Ovis aries: one gene and its partners. The protein of the gene in region 2 purifies or fractionates together with the protein of the main gene of each other region. This does not show direct contact. Links are inferred from orthologs where the notes say so. Each region holds a gene or a part of one and is shown on either strand. Other genes may lie near its edges. The genes, in order: SIN3A, MTA1, DNMT1, CHD3, HIC1 and BCL11A.

What was found.
Region 1: the proteins of MTA1 (region 2) and SIN3A purify together in Homo sapiens (affinity purification with mass spectrometry; 3 studies listed by BioGRID, with this or other methods). This does not show direct contact. The link is inferred for Ovis aries from reciprocal best matches to the Homo sapiens genes MTA1 and SIN3A.
Region 3: the proteins of MTA1 (region 2) and DNMT1 purify together in Homo sapiens (affinity purification with western blotting; 4 studies listed by BioGRID and IntAct, with this or other methods). This does not show direct contact. The link is inferred for Ovis aries from reciprocal best matches to the Homo sapiens genes MTA1 and DNMT1.
Region 4: the proteins of MTA1 (region 2) and CHD3 purify together in Homo sapiens (affinity purification with western blotting; 7 studies listed by BioGRID and IntAct, with this or other methods). This does not show direct contact. The link is inferred for Ovis aries from reciprocal best matches to the Homo sapiens genes MTA1 and CHD3.
Region 5: the proteins of MTA1 (region 2) and HIC1 purify together in Homo sapiens (affinity purification with western blotting; 3 studies listed by BioGRID). This does not show direct contact. The link is inferred for Ovis aries from reciprocal best matches to the Homo sapiens genes MTA1 and HIC1.
Region 6: the proteins of MTA1 (region 2) and BCL11A purify together in Homo sapiens (affinity purification with mass spectrometry; 4 studies listed by BioGRID and IntAct, counting the BioPlex papers as one, with this or other methods). This does not show direct contact. The link is inferred for Ovis aries from reciprocal best matches to the Homo sapiens genes MTA1 and BCL11A.

What each region holds. Positions count from the first base shown.
Region 1 is NC_056071.1:31,080,261-31,084,512, forward strand, and holds part of SIN3A (paired amphipathic helix protein Sin3a), read left to right. Parts: intron 1-918; coding exon 919-1,157; intron 1,158-2,484; coding exon 2,485-2,668; intron 2,669-3,752; coding exon 3,753-4,252. UniProt on the Homo sapiens protein: Acts as a transcriptional repressor. Corepressor for REST. Interacts with MXI1 to repress MYC responsive genes and antagonize MYC oncogenic activities. Also interacts with MXD1-MAX heterodimers to repress transcription by tethering SIN3A to DNA.
Region 2 is NC_056071.1:67,443,590-67,448,420, reverse strand, and holds the start of MTA1 (metastasis-associated protein MTA1), read right to left. Parts: upstream 3,306-4,831; 5' UTR 3,108-3,305; coding exon 3,080-3,107; intron 1-3,079. UniProt on the Homo sapiens protein: Transcriptional coregulator which can act as both a transcriptional corepressor and coactivator. Acts as a component of the histone deacetylase NuRD complex which participates in the remodeling of chromatin.
Region 3 is NC_056058.1:12,544,284-12,548,064, reverse strand, and holds part of DNMT1 (DNA (cytosine-5)-methyltransferase 1), read left to right. Parts: intron 1-1,835; coding exon 1,836-2,002; intron 2,003-2,387; coding exon 2,388-2,565; intron 2,566-3,264; coding exon 3,265-3,460; intron 3,461-3,763; coding exon 3,764-3,781. UniProt on the Homo sapiens protein: Methylates CpG residues. Preferentially methylates hemimethylated DNA. Associates with DNA replication sites in S phase maintaining the methylation pattern in the newly synthesized strand, that is essential for epigenetic inheritance.
Region 4 is NC_056064.1:27,388,425-27,392,676, forward strand, and holds part of CHD3 (chromodomain-helicase-DNA-binding protein 3), read left to right. Parts: intron 1-2,149; coding exon 2,150-2,262; intron 2,263-2,750; coding exon 2,751-2,921; intron 2,922-3,178; coding exon 3,179-3,303; intron 3,304-4,252.
Region 5 is NC_056064.1:22,965,066-22,970,001, forward strand, and holds the start of HIC1 (hypermethylated in cancer 1 protein), read left to right. Parts: upstream 1-1,652; 5' UTR 1,653-1,883; coding exon 1,884-1,920; intron 1,921-2,261; coding exon 2,262-4,426; 3' UTR 4,427-4,936. UniProt on the Homo sapiens protein: Transcriptional repressor. Recognizes and binds to the consensus sequence '5-[CG]NG[CG]GGGCA[CA]CC-3'. May act as a tumor suppressor. Involved in development of head, face, limbs and ventral body wall.
Region 6 is NC_056056.1:63,450,165-63,455,182, forward strand, and holds the start of BCL11A (B-cell lymphoma/leukemia 11A), read left to right. Parts: upstream 1-1,758; 5' UTR 1,759-2,131; coding exon 2,132-2,186; intron 2,187-4,456; exon of another isoform or gene 4,457-4,475; coding exon of another isoform or gene 4,476-4,524; intron 4,525-5,018. UniProt on the Homo sapiens protein: Transcription factor. Associated with the BAF SWI/SNF chromatin remodeling complex. Binds to the 5'-TGACCA-3' sequence motif in regulatory regions of target genes, including a distal promoter of the HBG1 hemoglobin subunit gamma-1 gene.

The DNA of each region.
Region 1 (4,252 bases), about 36 Mb from region 2:
TGTCTTTAACCAGGTTAGGCTTGGCCCTTGCCAGAAAATAAAGTGTCAGAAATATTCAGTGAAAATTTAAATGGTTACTCACAAATACAACATTGAAGCCCTTAAGTAATGCTCTTATTGTTAGTAGATGTGCAAAAAGACATTAAACATTTAAACATCTCAAGTTACTCTGAAAAACTTTACTCATGAGATTGATTTAATATCTTGAATGATCTTTTTGGGATTTGGTGGTAGTGGTTGTTATTGTCTGTAACAGATCTGAGTAATTCACAAAAGTTCAGGGGAAAGTGTCAGTAAGGTTGCCTCCTCCTAGGTCCCTCTGGCATGGGGGCCGGTCATCCTCAATAAACCACATTGGTGGCGCTAGAAGTATCAACTACTGCTTTGTTGTTGTTCCGTTGCTAAGACGACCTTGTGACCCTGTGGTCTGGAGCACATCAGGCTTCCCTGTCCTTCACTCATCTCCCTGAATTTGCTCAGATTCATGTCCGTTGAGCTGGTGATGCCATCCAACCATCTCATTCTCTTGTCACCCCCTTTCTCCTCCTGCTCTCAATGTTTCCCAGCATCAGAGTCTTTTCCAGTGAGTCAGCTGTTCGCATTAAGTGGCCGAAATTTTAGAGCTTCAGCTTCATCATCAGTCCTTTCAGTGAATATTCAGGGTTTGGATGTTTGCTGTGTGCCTGGTATTGTGCTAAATCCTTTATGTGGGTTGTATTGTTAAATCCAGAACCCAACCTTGTGAGAGTAGGTGGTGGTATTCCTGTCTTACTGATAAGCTAACAGTTTTATATGGCTATGGTATGGCAGAGCCCAGATTCAAATCCAGGGAGTTTGACTTCTACCTTCTACTCCTGACAGCTATTCTGTTCTGATTTGGGTCCTGAGCACACTGTCTTTTTTTTTTTTTTTCAATAGCTTGATGTAGTTTTAGAGACCAATCTGGCAACTATCCGGGTTCTGGAAGCAATACAGAAGAAACTTTCCCGCTTGTCTGCCGAAGAACAAGCTAAATTTCGCTTGGACAACACCCTCGGGGGCACATCGGAAGTCATCCACCGAAAAGCACTCCAAAGGATATATGCTGACAAAGCAGCTGACATCATTGATGGTCTGAGGAAGAACCCTTCCATTGCTGTCCCAATTGTCCTTAAAAGGTACCTGAGTGCATACGCCCTTCATGCTTTAGTGCACTTCTCAACAGATTTAGTGTCCCATTAAATAAGATTCTCCTTTTCAGCCCAGTTTTTCCCTGAGACCTCCATTTCTCTCCAACCGCGGCTGTAGGAAGTCAGGTGGATAGTGTGGGATAGTGGAACTTCTTGATGGGGTTCTGTGTCACCAACAGCAGAGAACAAGCCTTTCCAGTCCATACTGGAATGCTCTGTGTGTTTAGGGGGATATTTTAAAATAGAGAACAAAGAAGAAAACAGCCACCCACCTTCCTGCCACTTAGTACTAACCGATGTTCACATCTTTTGTTTTTTAATAAGAAAAATCACTTTGTCTTTATGAAATTGATATGTTACTTAAAAAGCCTTAGCGTCCCATAAAAATTCAAGAATGTCTTCTTTCTTCTAACCAACCTTCGAACCAAGTATAGAGGGGCTGTTGAACCCACCTAAAATAAGGCTGTAGGTATCGAGGAGGCCAGGGCTGAGCCCCAGGCTCCTCGAAGTCCATGGCGCTCCTAAAAATCTGGTCCTGTATCACCACTGGAAAAACTTATCCACTGCACAGTCACACGTGCCCAGATTTTCTTGTTCCTCCCCAGTCTTCCTCTCAAGAGCTGGCAGAAGGTGTTTGCCTTCTTGCCAGTAGTGTTTAACTTTTGTCTTCGAGGTGGAGGATATCCTTCAGTTCTAGTGCTGGTTTTGATTTTTCTCTCCTCTCTTCCAGAGGCTCAGTCAGTTGTTTTTGCTGGAACTTCCAGGCTCTGTCTAGAGGAGCATCCATTGTTGCTCAAGTTCTCTGCTCTTGGACATTCGCATTTGCATTAGCATAATGACAATTCTCAGAAGTCCTGTAGCAGGGAAACTTGTTTCACTTTGTTTTAGCTGGCCAAAGAAGAGAGTCTACTTTTCTAGGGTATTCTGTGGAATGTTGGTTGAGAAATAACTGTTCTCTGCAAGATTTCTGACTTTGGGATAAATTACTTCCCCATAGTAAGTCCCGAATGAGTAGTTTTCTCGTGTATCAGAGTTCAAGACTAGCTTGAATAAATTTATTCCAGAGTTGCCAACAGATTTGACAGATCTGCTGTACCTGTTGACCTTTGAAATAAAGTAAACCTGACATATTTCTTACTTCTAAACCCTGTGGGATGAGGTGCTGTTATCCTCTTTTTACGGATAAGGAGGCAGTCTTACGTGGCTAATATGGCAGAGTGAGGATTCCAGTCTACAAGTGTAATATGACTCCTTGCCTTAAAATTCCCTCCTCTGAACTCTTATGTCTTTCTTTTTCCACCCTCCACCCCACTAGGTTGAAGATGAAAGAGGAAGAATGGCGAGAAGCTCAGAGAGGCTTTAACAAGGTGTGGAGAGAGCAAAATGAGAAATACTATTTGAAATCTCTGGACCACCAAGGCATCAACTTTAAACAAAATGACACCAAGGTCCTGAGGTCCAAGAGCTTACTCAATGAGATTGAGAGTATATATGATGAGGTGAGTCGAGGGTCTCAACATTTGTGAGAAGTCTCCAGTCTGTATGCTCAGCATAGCTTTGACTCCTGCAAATTACCTTTGTTATATGAGCCTGAGACCCTCCAAGGTTTGTTGATTGTTGCTTCATAGGATAGACTTCTATTCCCAATTCTTCTACCATTTTAAATCTAAGGCTCACTGAGCTGTTTTACTGGTTTCCCAGTTTTCCATCCTGGTTATAGTTCATGCCCACTGCCACCCTCTTCCACTTCTCTCCGTATTTCCTTCCAACAGTACCTTATATTCCTTCTTGTAGCCTATCTCAACTTTCCACAACTTAAAATACTATCTTCAATCCCCACACTCTTTCTCTCTCTGTTTTTGACCATGCTGTGTGGCTTGTGAGATTACAGTTCCCCCACCAGGGACTGAACCCAGGCCTTTGGTACTGAGAGCATGGAGTCTTAACCACTGGACCACCAGAGAATTGCCCCCAGACTTTCTAATCCTTGTTTATTCGGCATCCTTCAGGATTATGTAGAGTACTGGGAGCTAGGATACACAGATGAATAAGAAGTTAATCCTTGTTTCTTTGAGCTCATAGTCTTAGGGGATGGATAGAAACAAATAGAGTATGATTGAGAATTTCTAGAAGGGCGTGATCTTGAATTTTAAACTTTATTATGAAAATATCAAGCATACATGAAAAGGGAGAGAACAGTAAAATGAACTGACATAAATTTAATTTCCTCCCTGTCTTGCCAGTTCTGTTATATCTGCCACCTTCCTCACTCCCAGAAGTATTTTAAAGGAAATTTTAGACCTCATATCGTATCCTCCATAAGTACTAATGTAAAATTTTAGAAGATGGTCCCCTTTCTGTCCTATTGTCTTTTAAAAATCTCAGTGTCTGGGAGGTACCAGTCATGGTACCTCCAGTCATTTTGGTATCAAACCACATCTTGCACAGTATCTGTTTGTTTCTGGAAGTTTTCGATTGGAAAATAGTGGCCATTATGGACATACTGCTAGTGTAGTCTCGTAGGTCTGCCTGGTGCTTTTGTAGCTGTCACATAATACTTTGTCTCTCTCTCTCTCCTGGTAGAGGCAAGAGCAGGCTACGGAAGAAAATGCTGGTGTACCTGTTGGCCCACACCTCTCACTTGCCTATGAAGACAAGCAGATTCTGGAAGATGCTGCTGCTCTGATTATCCACCACGTGAAGAGGCAGACAGGCATTCAGAAGGAAGACAAATATAAAATCAAGCAAATCATGCATCATTTTATTCCAGATCTGCTCTTTGCTCAGAGAGGTGATCTCTCAGATGTGGAGGAAGAGGAAGAAGAAGAGATGGATGTAGATGAAGCCACAGGGGCGGCTAAGAAGCACAATGGTGTTGGGGGCAGTCCCCCTAAGTCCAAGCTACTCTTTAGTAACACAGCAGCTCAGAAGTTAAGAGGGATGGATGAAGTGTACAACCTCTTCTATGTTAATAATAACTGGTATATCTTTATGCGGCTGCACCAGATACTCTGCTTGAGGCTGCTTCGGATTTGTTCCCAAGCTGAACGGCAAATTGAAGAAGAAAACCGAGAAAGAGAGTG
Region 2 (4,831 bases):
CCGCCACGCGGCCCGGCGCGCGGGGGCCCCGCCACCTTCTGCAAGCGAGCACAACGAGGCCAAAGGAGAGCAGACAGGAGCCAGCCCCAGGCGCCCACCGCCCGGTGACCGAGGCGCCCGCGGCTCCGGGCTGCGGGGCTTCCGTCTGTCCTGGAGCCTGATGGAGCAGCTCTGCCTTCACGAAGGGGCAGAAAGAGAGGAACCCGCCGCCCTCCTGCAGAGCAGACGCCCCCGCCCCCCGCAGCGGGGCGTGGACCCTGACCCAGCCACCGGCATCCAGGCCTCGCCCGCCACGTGCCGCCCAAGAGGCCTTCTGTCCAGGCCCGGCCACTTCCTGGGGAAGAACCAGGCCTGGTCCCTCCCAGGCTGACCCACTCCGCCCAGCCGGTCAGTTGGCACGAAGCTGCGGCCATGCCTTCGCCCCGCCCAGACACCCTGGCAGGGCCTCGGGACAGCCTGCCAGGCAGGACGCAGGACGCCCGGGAGAGGCTGGGTGCCGCGGACCACTTTCTTGTGTCCCTCCCATGCGGCATTGGGGACACACAGATGCTAAGACACGTTGCATCTGAAATGCAACCCTAACAGGCATCCTGTACTTTTTCGTGCTGGATCCAGTGACTGGTGGAGGGTCCTGCGTGCGGACAGCTTCCCCGGGTTCTGTCCCTGTGGTGCACCGAGGCCAGGCAGCCTGCCCAGTGGGCCCCAGCCCCAGGGAGAGGCGCGAATCTGCCCATCTGGGTCCTGAGAGGCCCTGACGGCGACCCCAACCCCAAGCCAGCAGCTCCTCGGGACAGGACGCCGACCTGCCGACACCCTGCCCACAGGCCCTGTGGACCCAGGGGACAGCGCCTTGGGATCCCGTCCAGAGGTGGGGGACGGAACAGCAGGGACCAACCTGGAGTCCAAGGGGAAGCGGCCCTCCATTCGGGCCCCGGGAGCGCCTCCGGGACCCGCGGGGGACACAGGTGTCTGAGGCACAGCAAGGCCTGAGTGCGGCCAGGCCCTGGTCGATTGCACAGCCAGGAGGCCTGGAGCCCACACGTCAAAGCAGGGACGAGAGTACAGGCTGCGGTGCCCACGGCCTGGGAGGGGCAGAGATAGCACACAGTGGGGGTCCCGCCCTGAGCGGCAGGCGGCCAAGGTGTAGTGGGGGCCAGCGAAGGGCCCCCAGCACCCCACTGCCTCCCCCTCCAGTCTCCACCCAGGAGCTGGGCGCCTCCTCTCATTCATTTATTCAGCACCCCAACGCGGCCCTAGGGCGGAAGCCTGGCGGGGGGGGGGGCTTCTGGCCAGGTAAACCTCAGGGGCACCAGGCAAGCCAGAAAGGTGGGCCAACCGGAGGGGTCTCACGCCGGGAAAGAGGGGGCCTGCATGCAGAAATGTGGTCCGAGAGGACACTGTGCGGGAGGAGAGCTGCCAGGGCGGCCAGGGGACCTGGGCGGGGGAGGCTGGGGGCTGCCAGCACAGAGGGGGCGAGTGGGTCCCAGGGACCTCCTACCGCCCTCCAGGTGACCGGCTCCTGCTCGGATGGGCCAGGGTGGGAAATGAACAGGCCCCTCCCTGAAGGGCTGCTGCAGCCGAGCCCGACCCCCACGTGTCCACCAAGGGCCTGTGCTACAGGGGGCACAGGCCCCCATTCCCGCGACCACCCGTGAGCCAGAGCGGGCAGGAGAGGGCCTGACGGGCCGGCAGGTGTCCTGCTTGCCCACTGCCCAGGTGGGGGTGTGTGCCCAAGGTCACGAGGCTGGCCTGGCCCTCGGGGTCAGCCGGCCAGCAACAGGGCAGACGGCGCACAGAAGTGGCTCGGACAGCGAGGCCACGGCTGCTCTCAGGCCTGACACGCTCCACCAAAGCTGGGCACGCGGGCCTCTCAGGATCTCAGAGACAGCCAGCGGGCACCTCGCCTCCCTGTGAATTCACGGACCAGCTGGGAACCCCACGGGAAACCAGCAGTGCCCTCTCCCGGAGCCCCCTCCCCACAAAGTGGGGCAAGACCCAATGCCAGGGGCTTCCCGGGGCCCAACGAGGGGAGGAACAGCCCAGGAGGGGAGCCTACAGGGCCTCGGCCCGCTCAGCATCCCAAGCAGGGACCACCTGGCTCATCGACACCCCTGCAAAGCACCTCCCTGCCGCCCTGGGGAAATAGGAGGCAGCAAAAAAGTTTGGGGTGTGTTGAAAGCACGCTCGGGTGACCACAGGCTGCTAAGGCTCTGGAGAGGAAATCCCCCAGAACACAGCCCCTAAGCATACTCCAGGCCCAAGCCCTCAGCGGTCCTGGGCTCCAGGGGGGGACATGGCCCGCACCCCAGATCTGAGCCCCTAGCTCCCCCCCCACCCCACCCCCGGCACACCGTGGGCCCTCCTCATCCCTGGGCCCCGGAGCCCCCCACCCCCGGAGGGCAGCCGGGCCTCCTGCACCACGTGCTCCGCTCCGCTGGGGGCGCGGGGCTCAGGCCAGGCCCCCGCACAGAAGGGTGCTGGCATCCCCCACAGCTCCTCACAGACCACAGGCCGCCCCCAACAGGTGGGCACAGCCCCCCCTCACCTCCCCCGCTCGGCCCCTGTCCCCGCCGGCTCCAGCGGGGCGGCCCCAGGGGCCCTTTCGGGCCGCAGTGAGCGTGGCCGGGCCGGGGTGGGGGTGGAGGGCAGGCCGCTCAGAAACGATGGAGGGGGGAGGAGACGGGGTGCGGTGCAGACGAGGGGTGCGGGCGGCCGGGGGGAGGGGGGATGCCCCGGCAGGCCGGCCTGCAGTGGGGGAGGGGCGGGGCGGGGGAGGGGACCGGACTGGGGGGCGGGGGCGGGGGCGGGAAACGGGGAGCGGGCGGGCGGGCGCCGCGGCGCGGGGTGCAGAGCGGCCGGGGGATGGCGAGGCCCGGGGCGGCGGTTTGGGACCGAGGCCGGCCGGGGGGGGGGGGCGGTGGGCAGAGACGGCGGGGCCGGGCCGGGGGCCGGGAGTCCGGGGGGCCCGGGGCGGGGGTCCGGGGCCCGGGGCGGGGGTCCGGGCGGGGGCCCGGCGGAGGCCCGGCCGCGGCGCATAAAGGCGGCGGCGGCGGCGGCGGCGGACAGGCGGCGGCCTTACCTCCGACCCTGTACATGTTGGCGGCCATGTCCGGCGGCGGCGGCGGGGGCCGCGGGCTGGGCCGGGCGGGCGCGGGGCTCGGCGCGGGCGGCCGGGAGGACGCGGCGCGGCGCGGGCGCGGGCGCGGGGGCGGGCGGTTTAAAGGGGCCGCGCTGCTCGGCCGCCGCCGCCGCCGCCGAGGCCGCCGAGGCCGCGCAGGGACCGAGGCCGCGGGCGGGCGGGAGAGGAAGAGGAGGGGCCGCGCGAGGGAGGGGCCTGGGCGCCGCCGCGCCCCCCGCGGGGCCGCTTCCCGGGCGCCCCGCCCCGCGCCGCGCGCCCCCGGCGCCGCCGCCCGCGCGCCCCGCGCCCCCGCCGCCCGCGCCCGGCCCCCGCCGCCCGCGAGCGCCCGCCGCCCGCGCCCGGCCCCGGGGTCTTTGTCCCTGCCCCCGGCCCTGCCCCGCGGCCCCGCCCGGACGGCGGCGGGCCCCCATCCCACCTCCGCGCGGGCACCTCCGCCCTGGGCTGCGGCCCGAGAGACCGGCCAAGGGGCCGGGTGGCCGTGCCCAGGGTACCCTCTGGGAGGCCCCGCCCGGGAGCGGGGCGGGGGGTAGGGGGGGCCCCGACGCGGATGGTGGGGGCGGGGGGCGGTGTTGGGGGCCTGGCGGGGGTCCGGCGGCGCGGCTGGCGGTCCGTGCGAGGACAGCGAGGTGGAAGGGCCGTGGGTGAGGCACCGGCCTGCCCTCCGCAAGCCCGGCAGGACCTGGCACGCTGTGTGGGCTTAAGTCTGAGGATGGCGGTGGCCCGGGCACTGCCCGCAGGAGAAAGCGGAGGGTGGAGGGGGCGGCCCGGCTGGCCAGTAGCGGGCCCAGTGGGGCTTTTGGACCAGCCCGCTGCTCGGGGGCCAGAGGAGGGAGGTGAGGGCCCCAGGGTGACTGCCTCATCTGCCTGGGGACATCCCTGTGGGACGCGAGGGGACAGAGCCCAGGACAGGCCCCAGGCCCCGCACGTCGTGGAGACTGAGGGCGGCTAGAAGGCAGGAGCTCAGCGCTGAGGCCATTCAGGCAGGCCCCCCTAAGGGGAGGACAGGAACGTCCCCCTCCCCACAGCCCATCCTAACTCAGTGAGCTGCGTCTCCTCCTCTGGACAGCGAAGCTGTACCATGAAGCCTCCATCCACCAGCACCCAACAAGCTGACCAAACAGTAGAAACCACGGATCAATGCCCAGGCAGCACAGAGCCCCACATTTCCCGTCTGCAAAGCGCCTGCTCCTGTCTCCCTGAGAGTGGCATCCACCTGCAGCACCCCGCCTGCCGCGGGGAGAAGCACCGAAGGGCGGAGGCTGCCTTCCTCCAGCCACGGTGGGGGATGGGGGCGAGTGGCGGACAGGGCTGCCTCTCCCTGGAAGTCTCAGGCACGCTGCTGGGTTCCAGGTCTCCCCCTCCCAAAGCAGAGCGACGTCTGCTAAGCCCCGCTCCTCTGCCGGCTTCACACTGCTTTCCCCTCTCCAGACCAACAAGGGGGGTTGCAGGCAGGGCCCAGACCTCACACCAGCTCAGAGGCATGGCGACAGGCCCCAGGCACCTTGCAGAAGACTTCAAAATTCTTGCATTTAGTGGAAAAGGAGATGTTCAGGAAGGAGCCCCGAGGGCGTGCCACGTGGGACGGGGCGGCCCTGTCCCAGACCACAAGGGCCGCAGAAAGAGTGGGGAGCGGGGGCGAGGGGCGACGGAGTCGCCTCCACAGGAGCCCCGCAATCCGAGGTCAGACGTTAG
Region 3 (3,781 bases), on a different chromosome or scaffold from region 2:
GGCAGGCGGGGGCAGGCGGGCGCACGCAGAGGCCAGAGGCGGGGGCAGCCATCCCTGGGCAGGGGCAGACGGGCGCACGCAGAGGCCAGAGGCGGGGGCAGCCATCCCTGGGCAGGGGCAGACGGGCGCACGCAGAGGCCAGAGGCGGGGGCAGCCATCCCTGGGCAGGGGCAGAGGGGCGCACGCAGAGGCCAGAGGCGGGGGCAGCCATCCCTGGGCAGGGGCAGAGGGGCGCACGCAGAGGCCAGAGGCGGGGGCAGCCATGCCTGGGCAGGGGCAGACGGGCGCACGCAGAGGCCAGAGGCGGGGGCAGCCATGCCTGGGCAGGGGCAGACGGGCGCACGCAGAGGCCAGAGGCGGGGGCAGCCATCCTGGGCAGGGGCAGACGGGCGCACGCAGAGGCCAGAGGCGGGGGCAGCCATGCCTGGGCAGGGGCAGACGGGCGCACGCAGAGGCCAGACGCGGGGGCAGCCATGCCTGGGCAGGGGCAGACGGGCGCACGCAGAGGCCAGAGGCGGGGGCAGCCATCCCTGGACTGCAACAAACTGTCCGTAACTGAAAACAGAGCTCCAAAAAACTGTCCGTAACTGAAAACAGAGCTCCAAAGGGGACTTCCCCAGCACTTCCACATGGGGGGGTGTGGATTCAATCCCTGGTGGGGAGCTGAGATCCTACATGCTGCTGAATGTGGCCAAAAATTAAAAACAAAACTCCTCAAAGGATCAGGCTGTAGGGTGATGACGTATAGTCTGGTGGAGGCAGATGCTGGCCCGCACTGCACTATAGATAGAGCCTTTGGCATTGAGATTCTGGAGGAACTCAGAGCCAGGACCCCAGCAAGTCCTGAGGGACCATGTGCAAGAGACCTCTTTGCTGCGTCGTTTCCAGCTCGTTTCCCCTGATGGGGTGTAGGGGTGCCCAGCTGTGGAACTCCAGGTAGCAGTTAGACTCCCACACAGGGTGGGTCAGGAACAACACATAGACCACACTGTTTTATAGACTAAATGGCCGAGTCTCTGCGTGAATGGACGTGCTTATGAACACCTCGAGGGTGTGCATGGTGAAACTCCAGGGGCCTCTCAGTGGCTGTGTGTGCAGTGACAGGGCCTTGGGGTGGGCAGAGGGGACGAGGCCTCTTCTGAAGAGCGACTGCTCTGTGTGTGCCTGTTCAGTAACTGATGGCATAACTAAAACTGAAACGGGTGCTGAAACAGGAGGGAGAGATGGCTGGAAAACAGTGAGCGTGTGGAGGGGAGAGGGTGGCACTCGGCCCCAAGCCCTCCCTGTTGGTCTCCACAGTGTCTCAGCCTAACCGAACAAGCCTCGCTGGTGGCCGTGTTCTGTCTCTGTGACTGTGGGCTGCCAGGCGGGAGGGCGGCTCCTGGTGTCTCCCCTGGCTGCTCTCCTCCCCAGTGCTAAGACCACGGCACCCCCATGTGTCCAAAGAACCGGCTGAGAGCATCTCCTGAGCTCACTCCCACCTCCCCCGCGGTTGCTGGCCACCTCTTGGGATCGCTTGTCCTGCCCTCTGGCCTCACTCTGGTTAAGTGGAAGCCTTGGGTTAACTTCCTGGAGAACGACATGGCAATCTATTCCAGTATTCTTGCCTGGGGTATCCCATAGACGGGAATCTGGTGGGCTGCAGTCCATGGGATTGCAAAGATTCGGATGTGACTGAAGCAATTTAGCACTAGCACTGTGGGTTAACTAAGGGCTCTCTGGGTGAGCTTCACACCGGCCAGATGCTCCCCAAAGTCAGATGCCACGGACCCCAGCCCTCAGACCAGCGAGTCAGGGTGCCCGCTGACTGTGCGTCTCTGGTCCTCCCTGCACAGGCTGGTCAGTACGGCGTGGCCCAGACTCGGAGGCGAGCCATCATCCTGGCTGCAGCCCCTGGGGAGCCACTCCCTCTGTTCCCCGAGCCGTTGCACGTGTTCGCGCCCCGGGCCTGCCAGCTGAGCGTCGTGGTGGACGACAAGAAGTTTGTCAGCAACATCACCAGGTAGGAGCCCTGCCCGCCCATGGTCGTGGTGCCGGTGAGGTTTGGGGGAGCAGGGTGGTGCCGGGGGACCTCAGTGACAAGGCCCCGGGCCCGGAGAAAGTGTTAGCGAGGAGCAGTGGTGTGGGGTCCAGCCTGCCCCCAGAACGCTCTGCCCCTCTGGGCTTATCCTGCCCGAGCACCCTGAGTACAGGGCCACAGCCAGAGCCCACGCTCTACACAGGGTCTGAGGAGAGTGCTGCCCCGGTGACCTCGGGTAGCCCTTTGACCCCAAGTCAAGGTCCCCTTTTCTGCAGAAGACGGTGCCAGCCGTCGGGGATAGCAGCTGTGACTCAGGTAACAGTAGCTGTGTGTCCCAGAGGTGCCAACCCTCCATGCTTTGCTGCAGGTTGAGCTCAGGTCCCTTCCGAACCATCACCGTGCGGGACACCATGTCCGACCTCCCCGAGATCCGGAATGGGGCCTCGGCACTGGAGATCTCATACAACGGGGAGCCCCAGTCCTGGTTCCAGAGGCAGCTCCGGGGCTCGCAGTACCAGCCCATCCTCAGGGATCATATTTGCAAGGTGACCAGAGCAGGCCTCCCTGCAGCTGCCTGTTGGGGACAGAGCTGCGGGGGGAGCGCAGCCTGGGCTGGAGGAGCTGATGTCCGCCCCTCCCCTTCCACCCCTTCTGCTCTTGACTGCTCACCCCTAGCCCAGCGTTATCTCAGCCGGCCCCCAGCCTCACCGCCTCACCGCCTCCTGCTTTTCCAATTACCCACCCTCTCTCCACCACCACCCTCCCCCACCGCAGTACTTGGTCGTGGGGTGTTCATCAGAGCTTATTACTCCGAAGTAATAGGTCTAGGAAGACCTTACACCCTAGAATAGTTTACACTCTTCCTAAATAGTTCTGGAATGGCCACTGTTTCCCACCGCGTCTCTCACCACCCCTGTTCTCTGGGAGACCCCAGGGCTCCCCACCTCTGGCTCCACCTGTGCCACGCCAGCTCCTCCCAAACCCTGCCTGCACTTGCCCAAAGCCACCCCCTCACCCGTCCCCCGTTCTCCCACATCCCCGCTCTGGAGTTATCAATGCACGTGTGTGACTCCAGGCTGTGCACTGGGGTTACTGTCAGTCTCCCCCAGTGGGATACAAGTGCCTGGGGGCTCCTAGTCGCCGCCAGCGTGCCCAGTGCCCACCATGACAGCACCCAGCCCCCATGGCACCTGCTTGAGTGCTCCCCCAGCTGGGCGACAGCCGGGCCTTCTGTGCTCCTCCAGGACATGAGCGCCTTGGTGGCTGCCCGCATGCGGCACATCCCCCTGGCCCCGGGCTCGGACTGGCGTGACCTGCCCAACATTGAGGTGCGGCTCTCCGATGGCACCCTGGCCCGGAAGCTGCGGTACAACTACCACGACAAGAAGAACGGCTGCAGCAGCGCCGGCGCCCTCCGCGGGGTCTGCTCCTGTGTGGAAGGTGGGGCAGCCCCTCCCCGTGCCCTGGCCTCCGGGTATGGCTTCCTCCTGCTTGGTGTGACGCTTCCAGCCCCGTTAGGATCTGCAGCCATGTGGGGGGCTCAAGGGAAGGGGCACGGTCTCAGGCTTTCTCAGCAGGAGGTGCAGGGGCTCAGGAGGCCAGCGGCCCTGAGCTGGGTGCAGACCCACCGGACCTGGGTGTCCCTGCTCTAAATAAAGGCTGCTGAAAACAGGGCTTATGGGGAGGCTCCGCCTGGTGGACTGTCCTCCACCACGGCCCCATCACAGCCCTATCTCCCTGCAGGCAAGCCCTGTGAGCCTG
Region 4 (4,252 bases), on a different chromosome or scaffold from region 2:
CACCCCCTGCATGCAATACGCATGTGCAGCAGACCTATTATGGTGGTTCGTTGTGGGGGAGGGAGGGGAATTTGAGAAAAAATAAATATATGTGTGAGAGATTGATGGTGAGATTAGAAGAAGAGAGGGGCGGGAGGCGAGGCTCTCGGCGAGGCCCCTCCCTCTCTCCGGTTCGCCAGGCCCCGCCCGGCCCCCTCGCCGCGCTCCTCCCTCGCCGTCTTCCGAGATCTGAGCCGGGATGTGGGAGAGTCTGGGCGCGCGGCCAGCATTGAGTGGCTGGTGAGGCAGAGGTTGGGACTTAGATTTGCTTTCCTGCCCTCCCTCTCCTTTCCTAGCCGTCTACTTTGCGTCCCCGCACTACCGCCGTCTTCCCAAGTTGGGGAACCTCCCGCTGGGGTGGAGAGTGGAGTTAACTGGCTGCGAGGTCCCAGGGCTGGTGTCCCCCCACCACCCCACCCCCAGCTGGCGGAGACCGAGGCCATTTCCCTGATCCTCAGCCAGTTGGCCTGCCCTTGCTACTGCCCCGGCAGCCTCCGTTTCCATGTTCGTATTAGCGGAGTCCCTGGGGTGAGAGAGCGCTGGCTGCGGGGCACGGCGTCTTACTGACTTCCTATTACGGTACCCACTCTGTTTTCACACCCCGGGCTGCCTGCAGGCACTTCCCCCCCCCCCCCCCCCCCGCGCCACAGCCCCCCAATTTTAGAGTGCCGTCCCGCGCGAGAGGGCACAGGATGCCGGAGCTGTGAGAAGTAGCACTGAAGGAAGGAGGCGCCGCGATTCTGAGGCGCTGGAAACCCGAGGCCTCCGGTGTAAATTGTGGCTAATTTTCCCTTGGCTGTTGTGGGGAGAAGGATTGTGTGTCCTAGAGCAAGGGGCTGGGCCGGCCCAGGCTTTTCCCTCCAGCGCTGCTGCCTCTACCTGAGCAGGACAGGTCTGGCTGGTTAGTCTAGTGCTTGCTGGGGGAGGGAGGCCTCACACCGGGGCCTCACTTCTGTGTGGCATCGGCTGTGTCTTCCTCCTGAAGTAGTTATTCTCTGAACCCTAAGCCTCCACAGTGTGGCAGGGGTCATGGAGAATGGGGAGAGGGGGACATCTGGGAAGAACCAGCCCCAGATTGTCTGACAGGGACATCTGGAGAGAAAGCCAGGGACCTAGCCCTGCTAAAAGCATGTACAAATTGTCCTCTGGGTTTGTGCTCATGAGTATGTGATGCTTGTGCATTTGAGAATGCATTTGAGGGGTGTGTCTATGCCTGTCCAGTGTCTTTGTGTGGGTCTCCCATACTGCTTAGATATGAATGGGTTAGAATGCTTGAGACTACATTTGGAGGCAAGGGGTGAGACCAGGGACAACGGGTAGGGCGCCTGAGTTCTCAAAGGGAACAGGGATGTGGATGTAGATTTGAAGGCACAATTGAGGCTGCTTGGGAGGAGGAGGAAGAATGTATAGGTAATTGTGGAGACCTTCTCCTGTGGGGCTAGGGAGTGACAAAGGAGCCAGACACCAAGATCCTGTGGGCCAGAAGTGAACATGGCTGACTGAGGGTTTCTTTTCCTCCAGGGCTATGCTGGGGTGACAGGAGTCTGGGTGATTATCTGAGGAAGTGTAAATAGAGGCCTCACTCCTCACAGAAAGGATGTCAGGGCCCCAGGGTGTTAGTGTGAGAGCCCAGGTGTCCACCTTTGGCTCTGCCTTCTCAGCATCTGGCTTAGGGAGCTGCCAGCTTGTGTCTCCCCACTCCAAGTGCTGGGGTCAGGCCAGGCCAGCAGCTGGGCATGGCTTCCCCAGTTCCTGGGCAGGATGCCAGCTGGCTAAGTGAGGGGGAAGGCAGGAGGAGCCCTGGCGGCGACTAAAAGGACCTGCCACAGTCAGAGCCCATGGCCTAGAGCCTGGTCCCTTGTTAGTAGGAGGGGAGAGACAGGAGTGGTTTGGCTGCTCTCCTCTTCTGACCCCTGACCTCCCATTCACAACCCAGGCATCCCAGAGTACTCGAAACACTCTCTGTTTGCGTCCAGCAAAGGGAGGCAAGGTTTGGAAGAGTTAATGCTGGATTTCCTAGAGAGCAGGAACCAAGGAGGTGAGGGAGGAAAAGGGCTGCAGAGGCTGGGAGCCTAGAGGCTTAGGTTTTCCGGTGCTGTCTGCTCCAAAGATAAGGATGACATTCGACTGCTGCCTTCAACATTGGGCGTGAAGAAGAGGAAGCGAGGACCTAAGAAACAGAAGGAGAACAAGCCAGGAAAGCCCCGGAAACGCAAGAAGCTTGTAAGTGTTACGCATGCCTGTCTCTACAGTGAGGCTTGGAGACCCATCCCAGAGACCTATGATTTCTCTGGGCCTGATTGCCATGGGGACCCTGAAGTCAGGGAGACCTGACTCCCTCTGCCTGCCCCTAGCCCCACTCCTGCTAGCCTGTATCTCCCAGGTCTGGGACCCTAACCTTACTCACTACATCCTAGTGAAGAGCCCTTTTGTCGACTTTACTTGCCCTGCAACACAGAGAAGCTGTTGGAAGCACTGCAGGTAGACTGCATGAATTCACAGCCCAGCAGTCCTCTATCTTCTTGGGCAGCTTACTTAGCTCTCCGTGCCTCAGTTTCCTCTACAAAAAAAAAAAAATGGATAAAAATAGATTAGTTGCTGTCTCATAGGATTGTTGTGAAGTTTAAAAGAGACGATGATATTTTGTGCTAAGAGGAGTTCCTGGCACACGCTAGGGCTCAAAAAATAGTGTTTTTATTTCTCTTCCTTAGGACAGCGAGGAGGAATTTGGCTCTGAGCGAGATGAGTACCGGGAGAAGTCAGAGAGTGGAGGCAGTGAATATGGAACCGGACCAGGTCGGAAACGGAGACGGAAGCACCGAGAAAAAAAGGAGAAGAAGACAAAGCGGCGGAAAAAAGGGGAGGGAGAGGGGGGGCAAAAGGTGAGTAGATTTGGGGAGTGAGGGAAGAAATCTGTATCAATGACAAGCCTGAAGAGTAGGGGAGGGAGAGCCCTGGGCAAGCAGGGTGACAAATGGAGAGGCTGTGGTTTATGAGGAGTGGGATTGGGCTGGGAATGGAACAGAAAACTGGAAGCCCAGAGAAGCTGGTGAGTGGGCAGGGAGGCATGTCAGGGGGTGGGGGGAGCCCAGGACTGGAGTTAGGAGAGCACCTGGCTAACAGAAGCCTGGTATCCTAGCAAGTGGAACAGAAGTCATCAGCAACCCTACTTCTGACCTGGGGCCTGGAGGACGTGGAACATGTGTTCTCCGAGGAAGATTACCACACACTCACCAACTACAAAGCCTTCAGCCAATTCATGAGGTACGGTAGGGCTGGGGAACCCTCACTAGCCGATGCTTTTAATTTGAGGGAGGCCCTGGACCTCTCTGGAATCTGATGAAAGCTAAAAAATGGCTGTCCAGAGAAATTCACAGCACAGACACACCTAACTCCCATGTAATATCAGAGAATTCCTGGATTCCAGGATCCAAGCACTCTAGTCAGGAACTTTTCACTGGGGATCAGAGTTCCACGGCTAGGTTAGAAAACTCTGGTGACCGATGGCCCTCTCTGCTCTTAACAGTTCCAGTTTACCCTGCCTGACTTTTCATCAGACTGGAGTGGAGAGGTGGCATCAGTGTTTCCCAGTTTCCTTTGCTCGGTTATCGAGTCTTCTGCCCTTCCCTTAGACAGCAGTAGTAGTGCAGGCTGAGAGTGGCACCTGCAAGTCAATAGCTTCTAAAGTAGAGGAGAGAACAATAGAGATGCCTTTGGGGGAAGCAGGCACTTTAGCAGAGCCCTTCAGCCCTCTGGAGACAGCCTGCTAAAATTCAGGTCCTGGTGCTTCTTGGGCAGCTCACTTTGATCTTCAGTTTCTGCATCTGTGAAATAGGCAAATAGTAGGTACCTTGAGGAGGGACTGGCAACCCACTCCAGTATTCTTTCCTGGAGAATCCCGTGGACAGAGGAGCCTGGGGGGCTATAGTCCAAGGGGTCACAAAGAGTTAAGACATGACTGAGGTGACTAAGTATGTACTTTGGTTGGGTTTTGATGGGGTGGTAGATGGAAAGCTCAGCCCATTCCATATTGTGGGGCCAGGCAGAGTTCAGTCCCTGGTAGCGGTCATTAGTCCTGGTGTCTCACTGCTTCTCTACTAAAGACAGTGCTTCTTTCAGCACCACAGTCACCTGTGTCCTCACAACAGCTTAATACCCACCTCAGAGCAGAACCAGTATGGCCCCTCAGGCTCCACCTAGTGGGACCCCTCAT
Region 5 (4,936 bases), on a different chromosome or scaffold from region 2:
CCTCTGCCCAGGTCATGGAGGGCTCTATATGGCAGTACCCTGAGTATGACAGAAAGCCGGTTCTTGGACTCCAGAAGGGACAGGTGTGCGTCTGCAAACATGCACGCTCACGGGTGTCAATGCATGGAGAGGGTCTGGGTGCAAACGGGTCTATTCTGTGCATACCTATCCCACGTGGCTGAGTGAGGTTGGGTGTATTGGGGGGCCGGTGTACAAATGGAGAGTGCCATCCAGGGATATCTAATGAGAGACCCTTAAGAGCTTGTCTATCTTCTTCCTTAGGATTTCGGAAGCCTCCTCCCTTCCACTGCCCCTTCCTTGAAGGCCGGACTTATCTGAATTGGGACAATGTCAGAATTTAGAAATATGTACACAGGAACATTCAGCTCAAAACCCCGGTTTTTGTGGGGCTCGAAGGTCCGGGGCTGGGGCCTCCAGGTGGACACATCTGGAAGGCTGAATCTGAGAACGGGCCCCACTCCTGGGTCCACTTCGGCATCTGCGAGCCTCCCTCCATCTCAGGTGCGCAGGAAGGAGGCCGTGGCTGTGCCGCGCAAAGTACCGCACGGCCGCGAGGTGGCGCCATAGCTGCAGCAGCGCCCGCCGGCCCGGGCCGCTCCAGATAAGAGTGTGCGGAAAGCGCGGCGGGGCTGAGACGCGACCAGGACGCGGGGAGGACGGACCAGCAGGACAGACCGACCGGGGGCCCGGCGGGCGGAGGGCAGCGCAGCGCAGCCACGTCCCCCCCTGGATCCGCCGGCAGCCGGGCCCGGGGCTTCCGACATGCCCCCCAGGTGGGTCCTAGGGCTGGGGACGGGGGAGGGACAGGGGACCCGAACAGCCCGGTCCTCGCGCGCTGGCCGCCTGGGGCGCATCCTCCGGCGCTGGCGCCCCCAACGCGGCTGGCGTTCAGGGCTCCGGGTGTCACCCCTAGAGGACTCAGGACCGCCGGGCCGCTGCTCTGCGCCGGGTTCACGGCGGGGTCAGCGGCCCGGGGCCGGCTCTGCCCGCACATGGGCTGGAGAGGCGAGGGGAAGGGAAGGGGAGCTGGCGGGCGGGGCTGGCAGGGGCGCTGCCCTGGCACAGCGCGGCGCCTGGCAGCGGGGCGGGTGGGGCGCCGACTAGGAGCTGCCACCGCCGCGGGGAGGGAAGCCCGGCCAGGCTGCGGCCGCAGGTAACGGGCCGCGCGCGAGGCCCTGGGGACTAGGCAGCGAATGGGGTCGGGCGGGCGAGCGGACGGCCGGGGTGCTCAGGGCTCGGTTCAGGCCCGGCGGCCGCTTGGCAGCCGAAATTGGGGGCCGAGAGGAAAAGCTGGGAGCCGAGGGACTGGGGCTGGCGCGCTCCTCCCGGCCTGTCTGAAGTTGGGAAACTTTTCCCCAAGTTTGGGGCGGCGGAGTTCCCGTGGAGAAGGGGCCGAGGGGAGCCGGGGAGGGAGGCGCCGGGCCCGCGAATGCAGAGCGGAGGCCGAGGCCGGGGCCGGGACGCGGGTGGGGCGCAGGCCAGGGTCAGGGCCGCAGCCGGCTGTATGCCGTGCCCGCCCGGGGCGCTGCCCCCTCCCTCCCCTGGGAGCTGCGTGGCTCCCCCCTCCCCCCCACCTGCTTCCTGCCTCAGCCTCCTGCCCCGATATAACGCCCTCCCCGCGCCGGGCCGGCCTTCGTGCTCTGCCCGCCACGGCAGCCGCTGCCTCCGCTTCCCGCGCCACAGCCGCCGCCCGGGGCCCCAACCGAGGGTCTGACAGCCCCCGGCCAGGGCGGCGGCACGGCGGGCACCGCATTGCCCTCCTCCGGACCTCTTCCCCCAACTGGGGCAACTTCTCTGGAGGCGGGAGGCGCTTTTTCACTCGGCTCCCTTGTATCCCACTTGGGCAAACTTCTCAGCCCTGAATGACTTTTCCTGAAGCGGACATTTTCCTCAAATCGGGTAACTGTTTCCACAAGGGTCGCTTCGCCGGAACAGTTTTCTCCTCGGAAGCCCCCAGAACCCAGGCAGAGTGCCCGGCTGCATCCGGGCCTGGGGGTGCCGGCCAGCCTGGCCTCCTCTCTGCCGGCTGGTCTCGGCTCCTTCTTCTGGTCTAGGCCGGCCGGCCCAGGCGCCCACTCTTGGAGGCCGCGGATTCTCCGCCAGTGCCCAGGCCGCCGTGCTCTATGCCCCTGCCCCTGCCCAGCTGAGGGGAAGGGGAAGTGCAGGGGAGAAGCGCTGGGCTGGGGGCAGGCAGCCAGCGCTCGGTGCGGCTCTGACCCCGCCGGTGTGTGTCCCCGCAGGAGAGTGTGCTGGGCAGACGATGCTGGACACGATGGAGGCGCCCGGCCACTCCAGGCAGCTGCTGCTGCAGCTCAACAACCAGCGCACCAAGGGCTTCTTGTGCGACGTGATCATCGTGGTGCAGAACGCCCTCTTCCGCGCGCACAAGAACGTGCTGGCGGCCAGCAGCGCCTACCTCAAGTCCCTGGTGGTGCACGACAACCTGCTCAACCTGGACCATGACATGGTGAGCCCGGCCGTGTTCCGCCTGGTGCTGGACTTCATCTACACCGGCCGCCTGGCGGATGGCGCGGAGGCTGCGGCGTCGGCCGCCGTGGCCCCGGGGGCCGAGCCGAGCCTGGGCGCCGTGCTGGCCGCCGCCAGCTACCTGCAGATCCCCGACCTCGTGGCGCTGTGCAAGAAACGCCTCAAGCGCCACGGCAAGTACTGCCACCTGCGGGGCGGCGGCGGCGGTGGCGGCGGCTACGCACCCTACGGGAGGCCGGGCCGGGGCCTGCGGGCCGCCACGCCCGTCATCCAGGCCTGCTACTCCTCCCCGGCCGGGCCTCCGCCGCCGCCCACCGCCGAGCCGCCGTCGGGCCCCGAGGCCGCTGTGAACACGCACTGCGCCGAGCTGTACGCCTCGGGCCCCGGCCCAGCCGCCTCGCTCTGCGCCCCGGAGCGCCGCTGCTCCCCGCTCTGCGGCCTGGACCTGTCAAAGAAAAGCCCGCCGGGCTCCGCGCCTCCCGAGCGACAGCCAGGGGAGCGAGAGCTGCCCCCGCGCCCAGACAGCCCTCCCAGCGCCGGCCCCGCCGCCTACAAGGAGCCACCGCTCACCCTGCCACCGCTGCCGCCGCTGCCCTTCCAGAAGCTGGAGGAGGCCGGACCGCCTCCGGATCCGTTCCGAGGTGGCGGCGGCAGCCCGGGATCCGAGCCCCCCGGCCGCCCCGACGGGCCCAGCCTCCTCTATCGCTGGATGAAGCACGAGCCAGGCCTGGGCAGCTACGGCGATGAGCTGGGCCGCGAGCGCGGCTCCCCCAGCGAACGCTGCGAGGAGCGCGGCGGGGACCCGGCCTCCTCGCCTGGGGGCCCTCCGCTTGGCCTGGCGCCGCCGCCGCGCTACGCGGGCAGCTTGGACGGGCCTGGCGCGGGCGGCGACGGCGACGACTACAAGAGCAGCAGCGAGGAGACGGGCAGCAGCGAGGACCCCAGCCCGCCCGGCGGCCACCTCGAGGGCTACCCGTGCCCGCACCTGGCCTACGGCGAGCCCGAGAGCTTCGGCGACAACCTGTACGTGTGCATCCCGTGCGGAAAGGGCTTCCCCAGCTCGGAGCAGCTGAATGCGCACGTGGAGGCGCACGTGGAGGAGGAGGAGGCGCTGTACGGCCGGGCCGAGGCGGCGGAGGTGGCCGCGGGGGCCGCCGGCCTCGGGCCCCCTTTTGGAGGCGGTGGGGACAAGGTGGCCGGGGCCCCAGGGGGCCTGGGCGAGCTGCTGCGGCCGTACCGCTGCGCGTCGTGTGACAAGAGCTACAAGGACCCGGCCACGCTGCGGCAGCACGAGAAGACGCACTGGCTGACGCGGCCCTACCCCTGCACCATCTGCGGGAAGAAGTTCACGCAGCGCGGGACCATGACGCGTCACATGCGCAGCCACCTGGGCCTCAAGCCCTTCGCGTGCGACGCGTGCGGCATGCGCTTCACACGCCAGTACCGCCTCACAGAGCACATGCGCATCCACTCGGGCGAGAAGCCCTACGAGTGCCAGGTGTGCGGGGGCAAGTTCGCCCAGCAGCGTAACCTCATCAGTCACATGAAGATGCACGCTGTGGGCGGCGCGGCCGGCGCGGCCGGGGCGCTGGCGGGGCTGGGGGGGCTCCCCGGCGTCCCGGGCCCCGACGGCAAGGGCAAGCTCGATTTCCCCGAGGGCGTCTTTGCAGTGGCGCGCCTCACGGCAGAACAGCTCAGCCTGAAGCAGCAGGACAAGGCGGCTGCGGCCGAGCTGCTGGCTCAGACCACGCACTTCCTGCACGACCCCAAGGTGGCGCTCGAGAGCCTCTACCCGCTGGCCAAGTTCACCGCGGAGCTGGGCCTCAGCCCCGACAAGGCGGCCGAGGTGCTGAGCCAGGGCGCACACCTGGCCGCCGGCCCCGACGGCCGGACCATCGACCGTTTCTCTCCCACCTAGTGCGCCTCTGGCCTCCGTGTGGCCCCGGGCGCGCCCCCCGGCGGCGCCGGCGGCCACCAGCAGGCGGGTGCCCCCCACCTCCGCATGCCCGGACGACAGTAGCAGCCGCGGCAGCGTCGCCACAGGGTCGGCGGCCTCACCTGGCCTCACTGCTTTGTGCCTTAGCCCGGGGGTGGGGGTAGGGGGGGGGGAGGAAACCCCGGGACGGGGGTGGGTTGGGGGAAGGGAGATTTATATTTTTGATATCAGCTTTGACCAAAGGAGACCCCCGGCCCTTCTCCGCCTCTTCCTGTGGTTCGTCGGCCCCCACCTCCCGGCTCCGTGCTGCTCTTGTGGGGGGAGGGGTGCCACTGTTGGGGCGCTCCCAGCCCTACCTCCGGCCCTTGCGACCACACCCATTCTCACTGTGAATCTCCCCGCTGGGGTCGGAGCGTTGGGCAGAGCTGGGAGCGGGGAGGGGACTGAGCCGGCCGGAGGGCCCCCCCGCCCCAGCCCCCGCCCGCCCCGGGA
Region 6 (5,018 bases), on a different chromosome or scaffold from region 2:
GCGGCCACCCGTACCCCCCCTGCACCCTCCGCGCCTCCCTTGGACCTGAGTCCATTTTCTTCTCCCCCCTGCCCTTCCGGATTTGGAATCGCAGCGCGGTCTCTCGGCGGCGGCGTCGGCTGAGGCTACAGGGTGGCGCAGGCAGGCGGGGAGACTGGGAGGCGGGAGACGCCGGGGGACTTTGCAGGCACGTTTCTGAATAAACTTTCCAATCGCAGGGGGTGCTGTTGCTGTACATTTTACGTAAAACTGAAAGTATCCCACGCCAGAGTGAAGCCCGCTTTTTGACAGCAGCAGCGCGCGCGCGCGCGCGTGTGTATGTGCATTAAAGAGACAGGGGTTTATTTCCAACAGGTCTTCCCTAATTTCCCGGGAACGTCTGCAGAAAGGCCAGACCTGGGCTGCGGGCTCCGGCGGGTGCAGCTCCGCCCGGGGCCCCCCGGGAGCGTGGCGGTGACCCGGGGCGGTCACCCCACCACTGTGGCCTCCCCGCTGCTCCCGCGAGCCAGTCGCTCTTTCTTCATTCCCCATTTTCTTTCCCTGGGTAACTGCACTGGACTAGTTGTGCTCTGCCCGTAAGAAACATTTTCTTGCCGTTCCTCGGTGCTTTAGCAGTAGCTCTGGAGTGGGAGGGGGTGTGTCTTTTCTTGGGACCCAGCTTAGGGACCTCCCGCGGCGCCGGGAGCCCGTTCCCAGGGACTGGCACTCCTCGACTGCCCGGGCTTTGTCCTCTGGCCGGCGGCGGCCCCGTGAGGTGGACGCCTCTGCGCCTCCTTCGCCCTGGGTCCGGGCACTCCACTCCCGGGGCCGGAACGTGCCCCGAGTCCGGCTCCCTGTTCTTTCTTCCTCCTCGACCGTTGAGAGCCTGACTCCTTACTCCCAGTGGCATTCACACCCGATCGTTTGTCTGGACGTTCAGATCTCCGGCCCCCCGGCTCGGCCTGGGGGGCGCCCTCCCCGCCAGCCGGCCCGGGGCCTGCATCTCCTCTCTCGCCCTTGCCCTCTCTCTCTCTCTCGGACCGCCCGGGCTCCCGGAGGCCCCCGCGCTGCCTTTCCGGACCCGCAAGCCTCCAAACTTGAGCTGGACTCTGCTTGGCCGGGCGCTCCTTCCCGCCTCCCCTCGCCCGCGGCGTAGCTGTAACTTGGAGGCTCAGCTCCCAACTTCGGGTGATTTTTCTTGGCTATCCTCTCCTCGAGCAAAGTTTCCCGAGAGCAGCCGCGGGCTCTGGGCTTTCGGCCCCCGGCGTCCGCACACGAGGCGCGAGCTCCGCGGCGGCGGCGAAGGGAAGTGGGTGTGCGCACGCAGGAGGGTGTCCGGGAGCAACTCTACCTGGCTTCCCTCCGCCCGCGCTTCCCCGGCCCCTGCAGCCTCCAGACACTCTTTTTTTTTTTTTTAATTTAAAATAATCTTTCATTTTAGGGTCCGCGTGCCGGGGTTGGGGGGAGCAGGGCGCACGTCTGGCTCTTCCCCTCCCCCGCCGCCCCTTCCCTCTCTCCCCGCCAAGCCGCTGCCTCTGCACTCGCTGCGGCCACTGGTGAGCCCGAGGCCCCAGCGCCCCCTCCCCTCCGCCCGCCCCTCCCACGGGGGCCGCGTCTGGCGTCTGCGGAGCCCCCCGCCCGGCACCTCCCCCGCCCCGCACTGGCCATTGGCTTGTCCTGGTCTCTTTTTCATGTCCAGCCCCTGATGTGTGTCCATTGGTGTGAGCTTCCCCTTCCCTCCTCCCCTTCTCTCCTGCTCGCCCTGCCCATGTTTTGTGTGTCTCTGTCCATCCAGACTCCTGACGTTCAAGTTCGCAGGGACGTCACGTCCGCACTTGAACTTGCAGCTCAGGGGGGCTTTTGCCATTTTTTTCATCTCTCTCTCTCTCTCTCCCCCTCTATCTCTCCTCTCTCTCTCTCTCTCTCTTTTTTTTTTTTGGTTAAAAAAAAAAAAGCCATGACGGCTCTCCCACAATTCATCTTCCCTGCGCCATCTTTGTATTATTTCTAATTTATTTTGGATGTCAAAAGGCACTGATGAAGATATTTTCTCTGGAGTCTCCTTCTTTCTAACCCGGCTCTCCCGATGTGAACCGAGCCGTCGTCCGCCCGCCGCCGCCGCCGCCGCCTCCCGCCCGCCCCGCAGCCCACCATGTCTCGCCGCAAGCAAGGCAAACCCCAGCACTTAAGCAAACGGGAATTCTCGCGTAAGTAACCCAATAATAGTAATAATAATTATTAATAATCACGAGAGCGCGCAGGACGAGAAGCAAGAGAAAGGGGGAGAGAGGGGTGTGTGCATGCATTAAAAAAAATTTTTTTTTCACGAGAAAAACCTCCGAGAGTCGGGATAAAAGAGATTAAAGCGGGGGGGGGGGGGAACCAACCTCATCCCATCCCGAATCGTAGCCGTATGTACACTTTTGGGATAGCACGAACCTTTTAATTTTATTTAATTTTACAAAAATTTGACTCCTCCTCTTTCCTGCTTTCCTCTGCTTTATTTCGCTTTTCAGAAAGGAATGCAATGATTTCGCCTCCAATTTTGCAAAATAATGAACAATGCTGTGGATGCTAACAACTCTCGTGCAAACCTAAGGGAGGGAACTGGAGGGGAAAGGGGGTTACTTCCACTTACCGTAGGAAGAAAAACGGGGGGTGGGGAGCCCAAGTTAAAAAAAAAAAACGATTCCCAGGGAGAAAAGAGGTGAGACTGGCCCTTGGACACCAGCGCGCTCACGGTCAAGTGTGCACTGGGAAGAAAGTAGTCATCTCCACAATAGTGAGAAAGTGGGATTGTGGGAGGGGGGACCCCGGCGCTCTTGAGTCCGCCGAGTCTGGAGAGGGGCCGCGGTGCCCGGGAGAGCTTGGGCGACCGGGAAGGACCGGAGCCGCGGCCGGCGCTGCAGCCTTTTGTTCCGGCCCGAGGTGGGTGTTTGCCCCGCTGCCTTTTGTGCCGGCTCCTCGCGCTTGCCCTCCCGCGCCGCCGCCGCCGCCGCCGCCGCCGCCGCCGCCGAAGGGCAGGAGCGAGGGCCGGGGGCCAGTCGAAGAGGGAGGGAGGGCGCTGTGGGTGCTGCCGCCCGGGTTCCCGCTGCCCGCCCCTCCCGGCCGAACCTCAGTGGCGGCGAAAATAGGTTAAAATAAAATAAAATACATAAAATAAAACATGGCAACATTTTTTTTTTTTTGCCCCCAGACAGACGCCAAGCGCTCCGCCAGCGGTTTGCAGCAACGCTCTCCTCTTTGACTCCCCCACCGCGCCCCCCCTACAAATATCTCACAATCTCTAATAGAGGGGAAAAATACAATTACCCCCTTCACCAAAACCTCTTTAGTTGCAAACTTAGAGCGCCGGCGGCACAGAGAGGGAGCGAGGAACTCCCTCCTCTTACTATTTTTTGGAAGATTTTCAAAAAAAGTGGAAGTGGATTTTGATTGGGAAAAATCTCGTGTCTGAATGTTTACAAGCACCGCGTGTGCGGGAACCTCCTGCCAACAAACAGACAGAGGACCGAGCGCGGCGCGGCAGGCCGGGAGCGGGCGGCGGCTGCGGCCGGGCCTCGCCGGGGCCTCGCCCGGCCTCACCGCGCCCCCGCCCCGCCCGGGATCGCCCACCCGGCGCCCGTCGCCAGCCCGCTGGCCCAGCGGCAAGCGGTGCAGCGACTCAGCGCCAGCGGGTCCAGGGTCCTCTCTGGCCCCCTAATACAATGCCCAGACCTCCTCTTGGCCAACCCTACTGCGAAATCGGCTGGGGAGAAACTCATCTTTGCAAAGCATTTTTATTTTGCAAAGCATCCCTAAAAGCGAGTCCTGTCCGTCCCCTACCCGCGACGCCTCTTGCCCCCAGCTCAGGGCGGCGGGGAGATCACCACGTGCCTTCCCTGCCCCCCTCCCACAGGGACAAGCCTATAGCCCCCAGCTCCGGAGCTCGGCCACGCAAGGTGGGGGTGGGGGGCGGGGGGTGGGGGTAGACGGTAGGGAAGTAGTTGGTTCGAGTATGGTTTTGGGGGGTGTTTGACCCCGGGACTCCGAGCATCCCTCCCTTGAGTTCTTGCTGTCTACCTCGGGCCTGGCTGGATCTGGGGGCCCTTCTGAGTCTGTATAAGGGAGGTGGGGTGGTTAAGTGGGTGGCTGCCTCCTGGCTAACAGAATGCGCCTGGAAAGGCAGGCAGTGGGCGCTAAGGAAAGTTTGGCTGCAAAGGAAAGAAAGGCGTGAGAGGGCCCACTTCCCTCCCCCACCTCATTCATGACCCGTATTTTAATTTTTGCTGCAATTTTAAAGGACCACCCCATATCCAGTTCTGTATTTTTTAAAGGTGTGTGTGTCGGGGGGGGGGTGGTGCGCGTAGGGAATTGAATTTTTCACTGGGTCCTGGAACTTGTCACACACTTCGAAAGCTCCCCCGCCCGGGCACGTTGCGGGCCCTCCCTCTCCCCACCCCCGCGCATCCCTCCCTCACCGCTTTCCCCCGCCCCCACTCCCCCGGCCGCGCCGGATGCGGAGCAGACGCGGCGCGCGGCGGTGTGAAGTTACAGCCCGGCCAGGTACCGGCGGGAAGGAAGGGCAATGTTCGCAGCACTCGGGAAAGCCGGGCCCTTCTTCGGAAGGATGCACTGGGGGCTCAAAGGACGGACTGTGGCGTGCAGTCCAGGCTGCTCCCCCGTCCCCCACTCTCCCGGGGCCCATCCCGAGACTCCAGGCTGGGTGGGTTATCCCCTTGGAATCCCCGAGTCTCAGAGCGGGTTTTGGGTTAAGGGGCCAGTTTAAAGTGGGTGCGGTGGTCGCTCCTTTCTAATTTTCTGGGTGCGCAGAGGGGGCGGGAGCCATTCTAGTCTTCAGGACCCCCTTTCCCTCCCCCCTGCCCCCATCCCCCGTTTCTAGGGCTGAATGAGCCGTTCGGTCGCTAGGAGGCAGAACAAGATCAAGAAAGCTCAGCGAACTTGAACCTGTACCAGGGCCTCCTCCCCCACCCCCCTCTGCATTTCTCGACCCGGAGGGAAGAGCTTTGCGAGGGTGGGGGTGGGGGAAACGGACGGTT